4 linked regions of the Drosophila melanogaster genome follow. The protein of the gene in region 1 interacts with the protein of each later gene in a pairwise test. Each region holds a gene or a part of one and is shown in the gene's direction. Other genes may lie near its edges.

What was found.
Region 2: the proteins of Nazo (region 1) and CG31522 interact in a two-hybrid assay, tested with the Drosophila melanogaster proteins (one large-scale study listed by BioGRID).
Region 3: the proteins of Nazo (region 1) and CG9855 interact in a two-hybrid assay, tested with the Drosophila melanogaster proteins (one large-scale study listed by BioGRID).
Region 4: the proteins of Nazo (region 1) and CG30184 interact in a two-hybrid assay, tested with the Drosophila melanogaster proteins (one large-scale study listed by BioGRID).

Annotation. Positions count from the first base shown.
Region 1 is NT_033777.3:8,286,062-8,289,120, forward strand, and holds Nazo (nazo), read left to right. Parts: upstream 1-1,814; 5' UTR 1,815-1,977; coding exon 1,978-2,179; intron 2,180-2,236; coding exon 2,237-2,457; 3' UTR 2,458-2,552; downstream 2,553-3,059.
Region 2 is NT_033777.3:4,459,872-4,464,646, reverse strand, and holds the start of CG31522 (uncharacterized protein), read left to right. Parts: upstream 1-1,763; 5' UTR 1,764-2,020; exon of another isoform or gene 2,021-2,027; intron 2,028-4,775.
Region 3 is NT_033777.3:4,395,465-4,399,823, reverse strand, and holds CG9855 (uncharacterized protein), read left to right. Parts: upstream 1-1,948; 5' UTR 1,949-2,116; intron 2,117-2,183; 5' UTR 2,184-2,187; coding exon 2,188-2,712; exon of another isoform or gene 2,713-2,767; coding exon 2,768-2,964; exon of another isoform or gene 2,965-3,021; coding exon 3,022-3,448; 3' UTR 3,449-3,845; downstream 3,846-4,359. Other genes in the region: CG9853 (uncharacterized protein), read left to right, coding at 1-82, 144-378, 439-1,071.
Region 4 is NT_033778.4:23,562,094-23,565,347, forward strand, and holds CG30184 (uncharacterized protein), read left to right. Parts: upstream 1-1,879; 5' UTR 1,880-1,985; coding exon 1,986-2,657; 3' UTR 2,658-2,687; downstream 2,688-3,254. Other genes in the region: Pi3K59F (phosphatidylinositol 3-kinase 59F), read left to right, coding at 1-434, 506-779, 854-1,215, 1,274-1,719.

The DNA of each region.
Region 1 (3,059 bases):
TTGTTCTGTTCCAAGGAGCGGGCTAGAAAGGGACAGGACGAGAGGTCCTGCTGGAGGAATGAGGGGAGGAGGAGGAAAAGACCGGCCAAAGATGGCATATGTTGCGCCTTGGCTCTATCTCGCTTTGGCCAATGCCCCGCAGTGGGTCCTTTTCGCTGGCTTTCACTCGCACGCCACGCGGCTCGTCCTGCAGACAGCCAGCAACAATAACGATTATTCGGCATTGTGTGAGCAAGACACGCCATTTGGTCGCAGGCGGAAACCTCGATCCTTCAACCTCAAGCATCCCATATTTATATGTACATAGTAGACAACTGCTAGCTAGCTAGCTCCCAGCAGCTAAGAGCGATCCGCTCTTGATTCAGTTACAGTTACCCAAAAGTTCAGCAGTAGCACTTGGAAGCCCACGCAATTAAAGGTGCATCAATCAAAATTAAAGACAATCCGGCAGCGATTTTTAAACGCCATCTAGGCACGTCAGCCGAATTCTGAAAGAAGACGGCCCTTTGATATGCGAATCTTCCGACATGTGTGCATGACAATATCACTTGTGCCAATATGGCTCAAGGTAAAGACTATTAAATTCAAATTAATGCTTAAATCCTGACAAGCAATCGCCAAATATAAACGAACTCCTCTGAATTGTGCTAAAACTCAAACAAAAAGGAATGTGTTCACAATAATAATAGGAAAAATTTTATTTAAAATATTAAAAATGCATAGATTTCTTTAAAAATATATGTAGGATGTTTATTGTTTAGCACAATTGTTTATCTTATTAATATTTTATAGAAGTATAGTTTGCTTATTATATTAGGTATTTAATAAAAAGATGACTCGTGCCAACACTTCTTGATCTCCGGGCATACGACGACTACACAACTTTTCCTTACTCCGGACACGACAACTTTCGGCTTTAAGATCTTTTTTTAATTACACAACCTTCAACTCGCTTTGTTCTACTTCTACTTTAAGCTTGTCCTATTTTCTTACCTTTGCTACCCTTTGCGAAGATTATCGATCATCGCATATCGATAACTATTGTTACATACATATTATTTTGTTTATTAGTACATGTATTAAAATATGGTATTTTTAAAGTTTGGCCAAACGTTTATTTCTATTGATACCATTGGCTGGTAAAAAAGTCTGATAACAAGTTTGGTTCGCGTTAGAACCCATAATTCGTCAGGCAGAAAACTTGTTAAAATGGTGAATCTTGACTTAGAAATGATTTTGGAGACTCTCCTGAACGCGGCGAGGAGGAAAAGGGAAAGGGAACACCTTGAAGGTTCTTCGGAAGGTAAGTTCCGCCAACGGCATATAAACATAAACATAAACATAAACGGTCAACTTACAGAAGGCGAGTATAAAACACTAAACGATTACCTACCTATCATATCAATTGTATTTGAAATGTAGGAGTTATCTACTGGATGTATGAGAAAATTGCGGATTTGACCTTGAGGGTCCTGGCAGAATTGGTTGACTTTGTGAAGGCAGCTATTATAAAAATAGTTGGTGTCGCTACAAATGCTGTGGAGTGTTTCAAGCGTGATTTTACAGTGCAATGTGCCGCATTGGAAGCCTTTGTGGTATTTTTAACCAGTAATTTGGGATTTCAACTGGAAATGTAATTATTCATGCGGTTCAAAAAATTCCATTCCATGCCTGCTAAATCATTGGATGCACTGCCATAAGATTATGATTTCTTTATACTTGGGTTCTGATATCGGGTACTCCTAAAAAAAAGCTTTCAATCTACATATGTACATATGCGAAGCTTGATTGCAATGATAGATTAAAATTGATTTCGATGATTTGGTTTGTATCGAGTAACTCCCCTCCACAGTGGCGGATATACAATTATTGCACTACTGATAACGAAATAACAACGTGATTGTACTCAGTTGTTAGAAAGATCGTCACCGGGAAAGAAGTAAAACTTTGTAACGGAAATATACATAAATTGAAAATATGGATTCAGCCATCTCAGAGATAATCAATGCCCTGGCTATACTGGCCGACGATAAAAATATCCAGTTGACCATCAAGGAGGCCGGCAAGGGAGCTGCAATTTGTGCTGGCGCTGCGCTGATCGGAGGACTACTGCTGGGCCCCCGGGGACTGGCACTGGGCGGGGCCATCGGTGGTCTCACCGCCTACGGACTTACGGAGGGCAAGAGTGTCTAGCGTTACATGGTGACTATCATTCTTATCAGTCTTTTAATTCCAGGAAATTTCAAATCTCTAAGTGAGGTCATTTTGAACGATTTGACGGAGAGTCAGCGTCGAGAACTGGAGCAGCACGTGATCAGGGCCATATCCGAAGTTAGAAATGTACGCGTTCGAGATGTCGCAAGACTAATACTAAATAACCGGCATGTGCAAGAGGTTGCACTCGAAGCAGTCAAGTCCTATATCACTGATCGTATGGGAATGACCATCGTTGATTAGGCATTAATAGAAATATTTTTTAAACTATATTTCTCGATGATTAATGCTATAACACAGAATTTTGCCTGCAACATAAATAAATTGTTGGCGCACTGAATGATTTTATTTTAAAATCTATAGTAAAAACCATTTCAGCTTATAATTTAATAGTCAGTGACTAGCCTTTTCGATGTGCCAGATGTAAAAAGATTGTTTTGCTCAGAGCTCGGCTTTCAATAGACAAGAGTCGCGCGATCTACGTCATCAAAATCCGTCAGATGTCTGGAGGAGCTGAACAGATGTTGGAGTAGGCGGAATTTGTGCAGCTACACTACCAAGGCGATCATCAGCAGGGCAACAACTGTTACAAGCAGTAAAAATAAGATAAAATTCAGAGACTCTTAGTGAAATTGCGGCAAGAGCCGAAATAAAGAGTCGTAGAAATTTCGTTGCTGCACTGTGAACGACGAGAGAGATGTGTGATGCGATGCTTTGGTGTATCTCACGGATGCACAGATACTCGCTTCGGATATTCGCTCAGTGTGCGGTAGGCAGGTCAAAATAATTTTGCTTACTGCGGAAGCGAGAGGAAGAGGAAAAAAACTGGCTGATCTCGATCTCGA
Region 2 (4,775 bases), 3.8 Mb from region 1:
TGCAGTACTATGACGTCATTTTCAGAATTAAAGGGTATATATGTAGATTCGTTGAAAAGAAAGAAATTTAAAGCGGTTATGGTAGTCCGATCTTAGCGTAAAAGATCAAGCGATTACATACCAAGACTTTGAGAAAAGTAAAAAAAAATTTGGCTGAGCCCCACTACCAAACATATGTTAAAATTAAATTGGAACCTTTTGGGCGTCTTGTTCGTCCCTTAAAAAGCATTTTTTGAAATACTTTACCTAAGCCCATAATTTGTGCTACATGTCATTAAAAACGCGTTTGCAAATGATTATTTGCTTTTCACAATTGTTTTGTCTCAAACAACAGATTAAAATGTAATACCCATTACCCGTAGAGTCAAAGGGTAGACTATAGGTAGGCAGTTTATGTTCTTTTCTGACTCGATAAAGAACATATTACTTCATCAGGACCAATAGACCGTATAAACGTCAAGATCTCTCTTGTTTTTTTTTTTACGATGATCGTTGAACGCTCGGCTGTGCAAAAGTGCAGAAACGTACCAAACAATCGAAAAAATCAAATAACAATACAGATTGCCACTGACTTAATGTACAAATGGGCCAGTACTTAATAGACGCGTACTAATTTTTGGCAAACAAATCCGCTAACAGGCGGCGACAGCTGGGCTGTACAGGCTAATATTTAAGCCCCTCTTGACCTTGTCGGCTCTCGACTCTTGCCGCATCAGCCGGACAGGGCGCGATGTTAGCCAAGTTGACATAACTTAATGCATCATAATGCACCGGCGTATTTGGAGCTGGAGCTGCGACGGAGACTATCGGCACTTCAGGCTAGTGTTAGCGTTAGATAATAATAACTATTTCCCAGCTCACTTTGGCACGCGCCCTTTGATGCGTTGTGACCAAACACTGAACCCTGACCAATTATCAATTGTATTATTACTACCAAGTATCCGAATTTCGTTTACAAGGAATGAACTTTGGAGAATTAAAAAAACTGTTGGAAAAAAACTATTAATTCAGGCAAAAGCTGCGAGTAACGACCGCTATAAAAATAAAACCCCTATTTTCTTAAATACTATCGATTTGGAACATATAATTGTAGGATAATTAGACAATAAATCTTAAGTCACCCCATATTTTGCGAAAACTCTTTCATCATGTTCCAAGCAATTCTTAATTGTTGGTCATACGGTTGGCCCAAAGTTTCGAATAAGGCCGTATATCTGTGCGTATCCATGATTATAAGCCAGATCACCTACACGGGCAGGAATCGTACGCCTCGTAATTAACATGGATGATTTAACGCTGTGAAAGGCCAGGTATCGGGGCTGTTCGGAAGTTCACTCCATGTAATATTTACTCGCTGGCAGTGTGCGATTGCTATTGCGACGGTAGCCACACTTGAACCTTGCCTGCGCCGCTGACATCAGACAAAAAAAAACAAGGTTCGGGTTCAGATTTGGGTCTTGGGTTCGGGATCTCCGGATCTGAATCGAGTCGCATCATTCCCGGTGTCCGGGAATAGCCAAGAGCCAATCAGGCCATTTGCCATCTTCGTGCACTGCACTTGACGCTCGGCGGCGGAAAGTTTTCGCACTGCACTCGGTCGGTGCTTGCCGCTGACCGTAACGTTTCCACCGCAGCCGCTGCGCTGCCAGTGGCGTTCTTCCCTGCGCTGGCGCTCGCGGTTGCGCCTGCGCCTCCGCTTCGTCGGCGTCGCGCGATCCGCGTTTAATTAGCCGCGCGGCGCGATCGCGGCTCAGTTTTCATTCAGAAGTCAAGCGCGCGCTAATCGCAGACGCAGTCACCGATCCCGTGTGCGAAAGCCGAAAGCCAAGAGCCAAAAGCTATTGCGAAAGTAATCATTTTACAAAGTTCTTTGGCAACACTTTGTGAAATAGTTCGGGCCGCGCAATTTGTGTGTTGTGGTTTTTGCAGTTTTTAGTTTTCAGATTTCGGTTGCCAGCGATTTACCAACCGAGCTGCTGCTGGCCGCCTTCCGTTGCGGATTTCGAGCTGTTTGCAAGTGGTAAGCTGTAAGTTGTTCGCACATGTGATTTTTGTTTTTCGCTCTTTTGCAACTGCGCGGCGCTTGGTCCGTTCACAATAAGCATTTTGGACGGCGCTCTCCACGCCAAAACACCTCCCCGCTCTGGCCAATCTGCCCGGCTATAAGGCGCAGATCGTCCGAGCTAATCGATTTGACTGGCCAATCGGGCTGTTCGATCCGGTGTTTCCAATGGTGTGGCAACCCTGCCATTTGGCGGTTGCACAAAATCAGCTTGCGTGGGGCATTTGATTCCCAGCGAGGATCCGATGCTGAGGACCTCTGGAGAATCCTCGACGTGTGGTCGCAGGCGGGATTCCGGCGGGATTTAGCCCTGGCCTGACTGGCAGCGCAGCGGCAGACCACGAACAGCTGGGCGGATTTGTATGCTGTTTGAGCAGCTGTTCTGGTTTCTGGACTGTTGACTCCCAATATACCGATAGGTTTTGTTTTGCTGACCCCTCGAGATAATGCATAAGAATTAGCCAGCATCGTAAAGCTTTTCACCGTTGACATTGGGTCCAAAGTAGCAGAAGCGCAATTAGTGCGCCCTTCGCGAATAATTGCCAGAGTTTTTCTTGCACTAAAAATATACAAAATGGTAATCCAAGGCAACTCGAAACAAGTGCGGAAACGATTCGCACAAAACCGGATCTGCAATGACCCGATTTTGGCCTTGGACTTGTCGCAGGGCATCCTGATCGTGGCAAAAAGTTTCCTTGAGTGTTTCCCAGTCAGGCGAGGTGGTCGAACGAAAACCGCTTCTGGGACCGACTTTCGAGGTCTTGTGACTTACTGATCGATAATGGGATAATGGTAGTGAATGGCTCCAGATCGACGATCGCTTCCGCGTTGGCTGTAATTGGACATCATAAATTGAACCGCCCAGAAGGGCTTGCTCATTGTTCTTACCCGGACTGGAGCCACTCAGGCGCTCCTCGGCGGATGCCACTAAGGTGGCAAATACTTTCAAACAGTAAGCTGGGATTTCGCTTTCCGTATTTACATATGCAAACCATTTGGGTTTTTTTCGCGCTCACCGTTCTTCAAATGCCACGCACGTAGCCGCGTTTCCAGCGAATTTACAGGCTACACGCCAATCCCCTGAGATCGCAGATCCGAGATCTGAGGCCCGACTCTCAAGAAGCCTCAAGAAGCCTCAGCCAAAACTTACCCAAACATTAAATCGCTCAACGCTCGCCGGCGTGGCCGCAGCTCTGGCTCACACCGCTTACTCTCTACTTATAAATAATTTAAACACAAAAGTTTGTTTGTCTAGAAGAGGATCTCGCTTCCACATCGAATAGCGCAATGGGGCGTGCTAACAACTGCGATTTGCGGAAGCCAAGTGTTAGGAAAAGAGCCGTAAACGTTTACATTTACGTGAAAGTATACCTTTATATGTATACTATTGTTTGCTATTATGTTTGCTATTGAATGCATTACAAACGGTTTAAATGTATTGATAAATACAAAATAGAAGGGCATACACTTTTGTCTGACTCCCATTATATATATATATATATGCATATGCATATATATGCATATATATACTTCTACCGACCATAAAAGCCACTAACCGATAGATAGGCCGCCGCTTGAATACCAAAATGTCTTGGGCAGTTTTCGAATATTTTAAACAATTACTACATTACAGTTAAGCGCCAATAACAATACCCGTACAATTCCTGGATTAAAGCAAGATTTCGTATCTTAATCTGGTAGCAATCCAGTTTGTACAATACGAACATTTTGTATATAAACTTTATAAAAAACACCTCCAAATATGTGGGATTAAAGTGACGATGACACTTCTCAAGTCCTAAAATGGCAATTAGTTAAACTTTTTTTTAACAAATTTTGCAGACAAACACATTTTGGAAAATGTCATTCAAATCTTGTTTTATAAATACAAGAATTATAACTAGAATTGCTCCCCCTTCTTCCTAGCTAATCATCATTCAACAAGAGATTTAAATCATCAAAAGATTATTCGATCACGATATACATAAATGGCTCTGATCAGACTCTCGGTTCTCATCGTCACTACGTAAACTGCCATCCACAGCGATGTTAGGGGACTTTACTTGGGATAAGCACACGTACCTACTTATAATGTCAATTGGAAGACAGCGTTTTGCAGTGACTAATGAAAACAATTAACAGAATTTCGTCCGCCTATGTCTGCGACGTGTACGGCATTAAAAATATTCCAGAAGCAACAACACTATCAGCCACATCTCCGCACTTTAGACAGAAGATACTCACAACTTGTTCATGACACTAAAACAAGTTGAGACATCACCTAGCTTGCACTTCGGTTTGCATTACCTTAGTTCTGCTTTGAGTTTCAACTTCCCCGATTTGATTCGACAAACTGGAGTAACTAGCGTAACTAGACTTACTCTACTCTAACTAGAGTTTACAACAGCAGTCTTTGAAACCCCGGGAAATTAGTTAAATAGCTTGTCAGTAAATTGACTTAATTAGTGAGCCGAAGCGCGAACAGCAAAACGAAAAGGAGCTGCAATATGCCCAATAAGACTAACATTTAGAAGAACACCACAAATTGATCGTTATAAGAAACTTCCGTTTCAGAAATATAAGTCCAATACCATGGTTAAGTATTCCTTATGGTTTTCGAGACTAGGGTACATTCCTTATAAATTCCTAATTAATTATTATACACAATACTTGTAGGGTAGACCTGAACTTGAAATGTATTTGATAGAAAGCA
Region 3 (4,359 bases), 3.9 Mb from region 1:
GAGTACTTGCCAAGTTGTCCCAGTCTCTGGCAGGAGGAGAATTCTATGAAGCGCACATGATGTATAGGACGCTGTATTTTCGGTAGACTATTTGTATAATCCGTGCAAGGAAATGCAATCCAATAAGAAATTCGATTCCTTAGGTATACGGCGCAGAAACGCTATCAGGACTGCCTGGAACTGCTCTTTGATGGAGCACAGCAGCTTATTGCCAAGGAACAGGAAAGCAGCGCCGCGGACCTATGTCTCCTTCTGGTGGACACGTTAGAGAAGCGAGGACCACAGGCGGAAGATACCGACAACTTCCTGTGGGTTCCACGCCTAGGGGCTTTGATCCGCGGCCTTAACTCCGCGACTGTAGAGCGCGAAACCCTTATTGTGAGTCTTTGACATTATTAAACGCGACTTATACCGGCAATGAAATTTTTTTTCCTTTAGCAACGGACCATTAAGTGGAGCACGGCCTTGCATGGCCAGTATGGCCACCCAGTGCTCCATAAGTTAATTGCGCACGTGTTTTGGACCGAGGGCAACATTGAGTCGGCTCGTCACCACTATCTACTCTGCCAGGATGGCAGCCTATGTGGGCGAGTGCTAATTGAAATCAGCCAGAGCAGGGGCTTCCAGGGCGAGATGGACTTGTTTCTGGTACAAGCTGTGCTGCAGCAGCTATCCCTTAAGGATCGGAAAACTGCAGAGGACACGTTCACTGAGTACACACGCTACCACGCCAAGCTGCTTAAGCATGAGTTCCCCTATAAGGAACCGCTGGTCAACTTCTTGTACTTCCTATTCCGTCTTATTGACGCGAAGCGTGTGGCTGGGTTTCGGGCCTTACGCAAGCTTTACGATCCATCCCTAAAGCGCGACACGTCTTTTCTAAAGTACGTAGCCAAGATTGGGGTGCTGTATTTCGACGAGCATCCGGAGGCTGCTCATTCTGGCCCGCCCGGGTTGGGCGGAATGTTTGGTGACATATTCAATCGCCTTATGGCGGGCTTTGAGGAAGATGATGCGGACGATCATGACACGACCCTGAGGCGGCAAAACGAGAATAACGAACTGGAATAGCATGTATGCATTAATGAAGCATACCGAAGAGGGATCCTTTGTTGCTGGTCTTTTTGGTTGCTCAAAGTCAATGAAGTTCTTTGCCACAAAATCATCGGGCTATTTTGTTATAACTTTAAATTGCTGTATGCTAAATAATTTTAAATAAGCGTATGGTCTTGATTATGCAAATTATAAAAAAATAGTTATTCAAACAAAAATCACTATGACAAGTTCTCAAAAATCTTGTTTTGGGAATATCTTTTGAACTGGTAATTGGATTTTTGTGCTTTTGTAGTGCTTGCCTCCTACGCACAATATCCGGGTGCGCTTCGTCACAACGTGAAAATACATCGCGATACATCCCATAGTCGACATTTCGAGGATGCAATTAAAATGGGAAAAAATTGTAAAGAAAAATTAATTAATTGAAATATTTGAAAAGTTTTATAATTTTATAACATTTGTATTTCCAAAAATAAATAACCAGCATCGAAAGTCGACATTGAATATGCGGGATCAACCCGGCTTGTAACATAAAAGCAGAATCCCTTATTTAGGTGTAGTATAATTTGTTCTCATTTCCCTCCGTTTTTGTGTTATTCTGTATTGGCGGAAGAATTCAGAAAAGTTGTTTTTCCAAATTTAAATTATGTATATTTTAAGTCAGTAGTGGACTAGGTAGTAGAATTCGAATACGTGTGAATATTTCGTAAGTAGGTCAATCGTTTTTAAAAATTATACAATGTATCTAACTTGTCCTTCTGGAATCGACGGCTTAAAAATAATACGACGAAATCCCAAAAAAATATTTATGTTGCGATATAAGTGTGACCAGCACAAGGGTAAGTTAGCGTCGACCTGGAAAATACAATCTGAGATCTGGTCCGTCCGAAAAATCATTGAAAGTGCCCTGGTAGAATAAATCAGATTGGGTTTATTTAGTTAGTTTTATTTTCGTTGAACCACCCAAAATAAGAGTAAAGTTGAGAAACGCTCAGAATTAAAGCCACAACCTTTAACCGAAAAGGCCAATCACCGCACAACAAAGCCGAGTGAGAGCAAAGTAAGCAGGACCTTAAGGTTGGGCCTCTGTGCATCGATAAACATAGGACATTGTGTTATACTTTCAGCGAAATGGCCGACAAAGCTGCAGCGCCCTCTGTGGACTGTGCGGCGCCATCTGTGGACTGTGCGACGCCTGCAATACCAGCCGTGGAGGATCACACCACGCTGACCGTTCCACCTGCTTCAGCGAACAAAGCCACGGACGCTTCCACTTCCACTGCCGTCCAAGTGGCCGTCGATGGGGGGGAGCCGGAACGCTGCTGCTGGATCTGCTTCGCCACCGATGAGGACAACCGTCTGGCGGCGTGGGTGAAGCCCTGTCAGTGCCGCGGCACCACCAAGTGGGTGCACCAGAGCTGCCTCTACCGCTGGATCGATGAAAAAACCCAGAAGGGTAACGCTCTACGCACTGTATCGTGTCCGCAGTGCCAAACGGAGTACATCATAGTGTTCCCGCAGATGGGCAAGCTTGGAGGTGCTTTAGAGGCAATAGATAACCTCATCAAGCGCCTGAGCCCCTTCCTGGCGGCTGGTTTCTTCGTGGGCTCCCTCTACTGGACAGCAGTAACTTACGGAGCAGTCACATTTTTACAGGTACAACCTATCATTTTTAATCAGTTGTCATGCTAAGAGAATTAATTGTCTGTAGATTGTCGGACATGAGCACGGCATGTCCATAATGGAGTCTGGAGATCCGCTCGTTCTCCTTATTGGGTTGCCGGCTATTCCAGTGGGGCTTGTGCTTGGTCGATTGATTCGCTGGGAGGATGCATTGTTGCGTCTTATTCGAAACCGCGGGACGGTGGTGCGGAAGTTTCCTTTTGTAAGCCTTATTTATCCGAACCTGTAAGTGCATCAACAATGTCAGGGTTAGCAGACTTTTATTACTTTACATTTAAGCAGCAGCCAGGAAGAGGAACAGCAAAGCATCAGCAATCCGGCCACACCGGCTCTCTCTGACCCTGTCTCAGCCACGAGGGTCTTCTGCGGCGCTCTCTTGCTGCCCACCATATCGTCGATCGTGGGACGTATTCTCTTTGACACGGTTGATAACACATTGCATCGTACTCTGCTTGGAGGTCTGACCTTTATAACGGTCAAGGGAATTCTGAAAATTTATTTGAAGCAGAAACAGTACGGCCGCCGCAAGAAGCGCCGAATTGTGGACTACACTGAGGAAAATATTCGGAACTTCATGCACCGCAACAATAACTCGGCAGCAGCGGCGCGGCAGGAAAGGCTGCCCGAGCAGAGGCCAGTGCCACCAGCGGAGCGAAGGGACGCTGTAATCACACGTCAACGCGGCGATAGTGGTGGTAGCGTTGTCTAGAAGTAATTGGATTCAACTGTAGGGCCACTTATTTTCTACGAGTTATGGTTTGTTTTAAGTTAATTGTTTTACCTCTTGCACTTTCAAGACGCTCACATCACCACCTAATTTAGGTGGACAAAAATTTTTAATTGTCTGCAGATAACAAAGCTAAATTTATTGTTAAAGTACACTGTTTAATGGCCGGAAAATAAATGTACATTAAAACGCTGACGCTGACTAGCCCTGGAAAATAATTTGTGAAAAATCCGCCATGTCCTTGCGTAGATATAACATTGATATAGAAGATAAAGGATTTATATATGTATATGCTTCCACACCTTTGAATTTATACGTTACCTTTTTTATAAATTAAAAAGTTGCCTCTGTAAATAAATAATACCCTCGGCTGTGGGTGAAGTTTAACTATTTAGTATATTGTACAGAAAAGCTGTAGTGATCATTCATTGCTATCCAAATTGGTGGTGTCAGTTTTGATTGCAGGTGCTAGTTACGAAGGTGGAACAAATGAATGTGTTAATGCGTTTACTAAATCCCTTAGGCCCTCGCCGCTGCTGAGTCACTAAGATTCTTGACAATGAATCCGCACAGTAACCGCCCGGCTGACAAAGCTTGTTTTTACATACGTAGAAGATGTGATTTCTTACATCTGGTCAAGTTTGTCTGAATCATATACAACACATGTACCCTTCCTTTAACTTGGCTGCGAAGTTCGAACGATCGAGCGAATCAATATGGGAAAAAGCGTTCAGTTTGGCTTATGCGTTTAGTAGCTAAAGCGAAGACAATATATACTGTTAAAGAACTGTCCGAAGTGAACGCTCCAAAAAGCGATATAATCATTTATAATTGTTAGCAAGTTTTTGTTTGTTTTGTCTATTTGCGCTTATCACCGGGAGCACAAGTAAGAT
Region 4 (3,254 bases), on another chromosome or scaffold:
TCTGAGCGCCACGAGCAGTGGACTCCACGGCTCGGTCATTCCGGCCAATCAGCGAGCGGCCAGTGTTTTGGCCGCCATCAAGAGCGATAAGTCAGTGAGTCCCGGTTCAGCGGGTGGCAGTGGCAGTGGTGGTCAGGGATCGGTTGCGCTGCCAAACCCCTCTGCTCCCGCCACTCCGGGCAGCAGCTCGTTGCCCTGCGACTCAAACTCCAATGCCCTAATGCTGGCCGAGGGCATCAGCTTCGGCAGTGTTCCAGCCAATCTCTGCACATTCCTGATCCAGCGCGCTTGCACGAACGCCACGCTGGCCAACTACTTCTACTGGTACTTGTCCATCGAGGTGGAGGAAGTGGAGTCGGTGAGGAAGCAGGACGAGAGGGCCCACGACATGTACGCCATGGTGCTCAAGATGTTTCTGAAGGTGCTAGAGAACGGTGGGTGTAATTTAACGAAATCATGGCTCATTCTCTAATTCCCTAATTCTCTAATCCGCTCATCCGCACAGGCAACTTCAACCTGAGAGGCATCTTCTACAACCTCCGGAAGCAGCGGCGCTTCATCGACGAGCTGGTCAAACTGGTGAAACTGGTGGCCAAGGAGCCGGGAAATCGCAATAAGAAGACTGAGAAGTTCCAGAAACTGTTGGCCGAACAGGACATGTTCAAGGTGAACTTCACCAACTTCGAGCCCATTCCGTTTCCCCTGGATCCGGAGATCTACATCACCAAGATCGTGCCCATGCGCACATCGCTCTTCAAGAGCGCCCTGATGCCAGCCAAGTACGCCATGACCAACCAACAAACTCTACTCACTCACTGAATACTTCAATCCTAATCCTTAATCCTATTCGCAGGCTCACCTTTGTCACTTCGATTGCCCATCACGAGTACGCGGCCATTTTCAAGCACGGTGATGATCTGCGCCAGGATCAGCTCATCCTGCAGATGATAACTTTGATGGACAAGCTGCTGAGGCGCGAGAACCTCGACCTGAAGCTGACTCCCTACAAAGTGCTGGCCACCAGCTCCAAGCACGGCTTCCTCCAGTACGTCGACTCCTGCACCGTGGCGGAGGTGCTGGCGCGGGAGGGCAACATCCACAACTTCTTCCGCAAGCATCATCCGTGCGACAATGGACCCTACGGCATTTCGGCGGAGGTCATGGACACCTACATCAAGAGCTGCGCGGGCTACTGTGTGATCACCTATTTGCTGGGTGAGACTAAAGGAGTGTAACCAGGTGGATTCCGCTAATCCTTGGAATTTCCTCGCAGGTGTGGGCGACCGGCACTTGGACAACCTCTTGCTGACCACCAACGGCAAGCTCTTCCACATCGATTTCGGCTACATTCTGGGACGCGATCCCAAGCCCATGCCGCCGCCAATGAAGCTGAGCAAGGAAATGGTGGAGGCCATGGGCGGCATCAGCTCCGAGCATCACCACGAGTTCCGCAAGCAGTGCTACACGGCGTACCTGCACTTGCGGCGGCATGCCAACGTGATGCTCAACCTGTTCTCTCTGATGGTGGACGCCACTGTGCCGGATATCGCTCTCGAGCCCGACAAGGCGGTCAAGAAGGTGGAGGAGAACCTGCAGCTGGGCCTCACAGACGAGGAGGCAGTGCAGCACTTGCAGAGCCTCCTGGACGTGTCCATTACGGCGGTGATGCCGGCTCTGGTGGAGCAGATTCATCGGTTCACCCAATACTGGCGGAAGTAGAGGACATTGCTTGCACAAGAAATTGTGGGAGGAGCGAGTAATCCTAGTTCGGTTCAGCTGAGTTGTTTAACATCAAAAGTGTACATTAGATTAATACCTTATACTTATCAATACTTATTAATATTATTTATCCTTTAAATCCTAGTCGTAAGTTTGCTTTAGTCGTAGGTGGCCTGTAGCTAAAAGTCCGTTGTGCGGAACCAAATGTATCCACATATACTATATATCTTGTCACAATTGTAGTATAACCATTTAATCGGGCAAACATGCAGGTGCGCTCCAAGAAGCCCGTTTGGTTCCTGTTCAAGATGATGGAGCTGCTGCTGAGCCTGGGCTGCTGCCTCGTCCATTGGACCTGCTTCATGGAGGAGGGTGTGCCGCACATCTTCCTGCTGTGCGGAACGTACGGCGGCTCGGTGATCATATGCTTCATATCACTGATTGGAGCTTTCTACGCCGAGCGGCCGACGATGAAGCACGAGGCGCTGTTCGGTGGGATCTTGGGTGGCCTGCACATGGTCACCGTGTACGCCAACATGTATGTGGCCACTTTGGAGGAGTTCCGCACTGAGCGCTGGCCCAGCTTCTATGCGTGCTGTCGGGACAACGCCATTGTGGCTCTGTACGCCGGCGCCATTTATCTGATGCACTGCACCTTCGCTCTGGATCTCATGTTCTCCCACTCACGCAGTCGGGCGAATCAGAAGATGCATCCACAGCGGAGCAAGCGACCACTGCAGCTGTACTTCATCAGCCGGGGCGCGGAGGCCTATCTCAGTCGCTTCTGGTTCTTTCGGCGCATCGCCGCCAGGATGCTGACCAGCGCCCAGCCATCGGAGCATTCCGGCCGGAAGCGGCAGGTCTCGTCCTCCGAGTCGGACTCGGATGCCAAGGAGAGGGAGGAGGAGCGGATTAGGAACTCGGAGGTTTTCAAATAGCTCAAGTAATTAAATATTAACGTTCACCTGCTCGTGTGCTCACTGTAGTTGTGCCTTTTGAAAGCCCGCTGCTGTGCAGCCCTGGCGCCATCAGCTGTTCGCCGCATAACAGCCCCGTCTCTTGGAGCGCGCGCACTTTGACAGCTGTTCGTTTACAGTTCCTTTGGTTCTTGGAAGTTTGTTTGGCGCGCCGCGTGTGATTTTCGTTACTTTTGCCGGAATTGTGTCGATTTTGTGGATTTTTGCATTGGTTTAAGCCTGCGGAGGAGTCCAGCTTTAATGACGATGGCGAACGGTGCGGTGAGTTGCGGGGGGAACGCACTGCGTCGTCCACTTCGCCATTGTGCGGATGCATGGCTGGAAATTTCTGTCTGCAAACTTTTCCGATTTTCATAGTTCGATGCGTGGTGGAAACTTCTGCGGGCGGCGCTCGAGCTCTGGGTCTGTGTGCCTGTGGTTTTAGTTAGTTGCAGGTACTCGTTGCTAAAACTTTTGCTAAAAGTTAGCCGTTGCCACTAAAGTTGCCGCCCGAGGCAACACAAACAAACGAAAAAAAACGAAAAAAAACGGGACTAGCACACTCGCGGCCATGTGCAT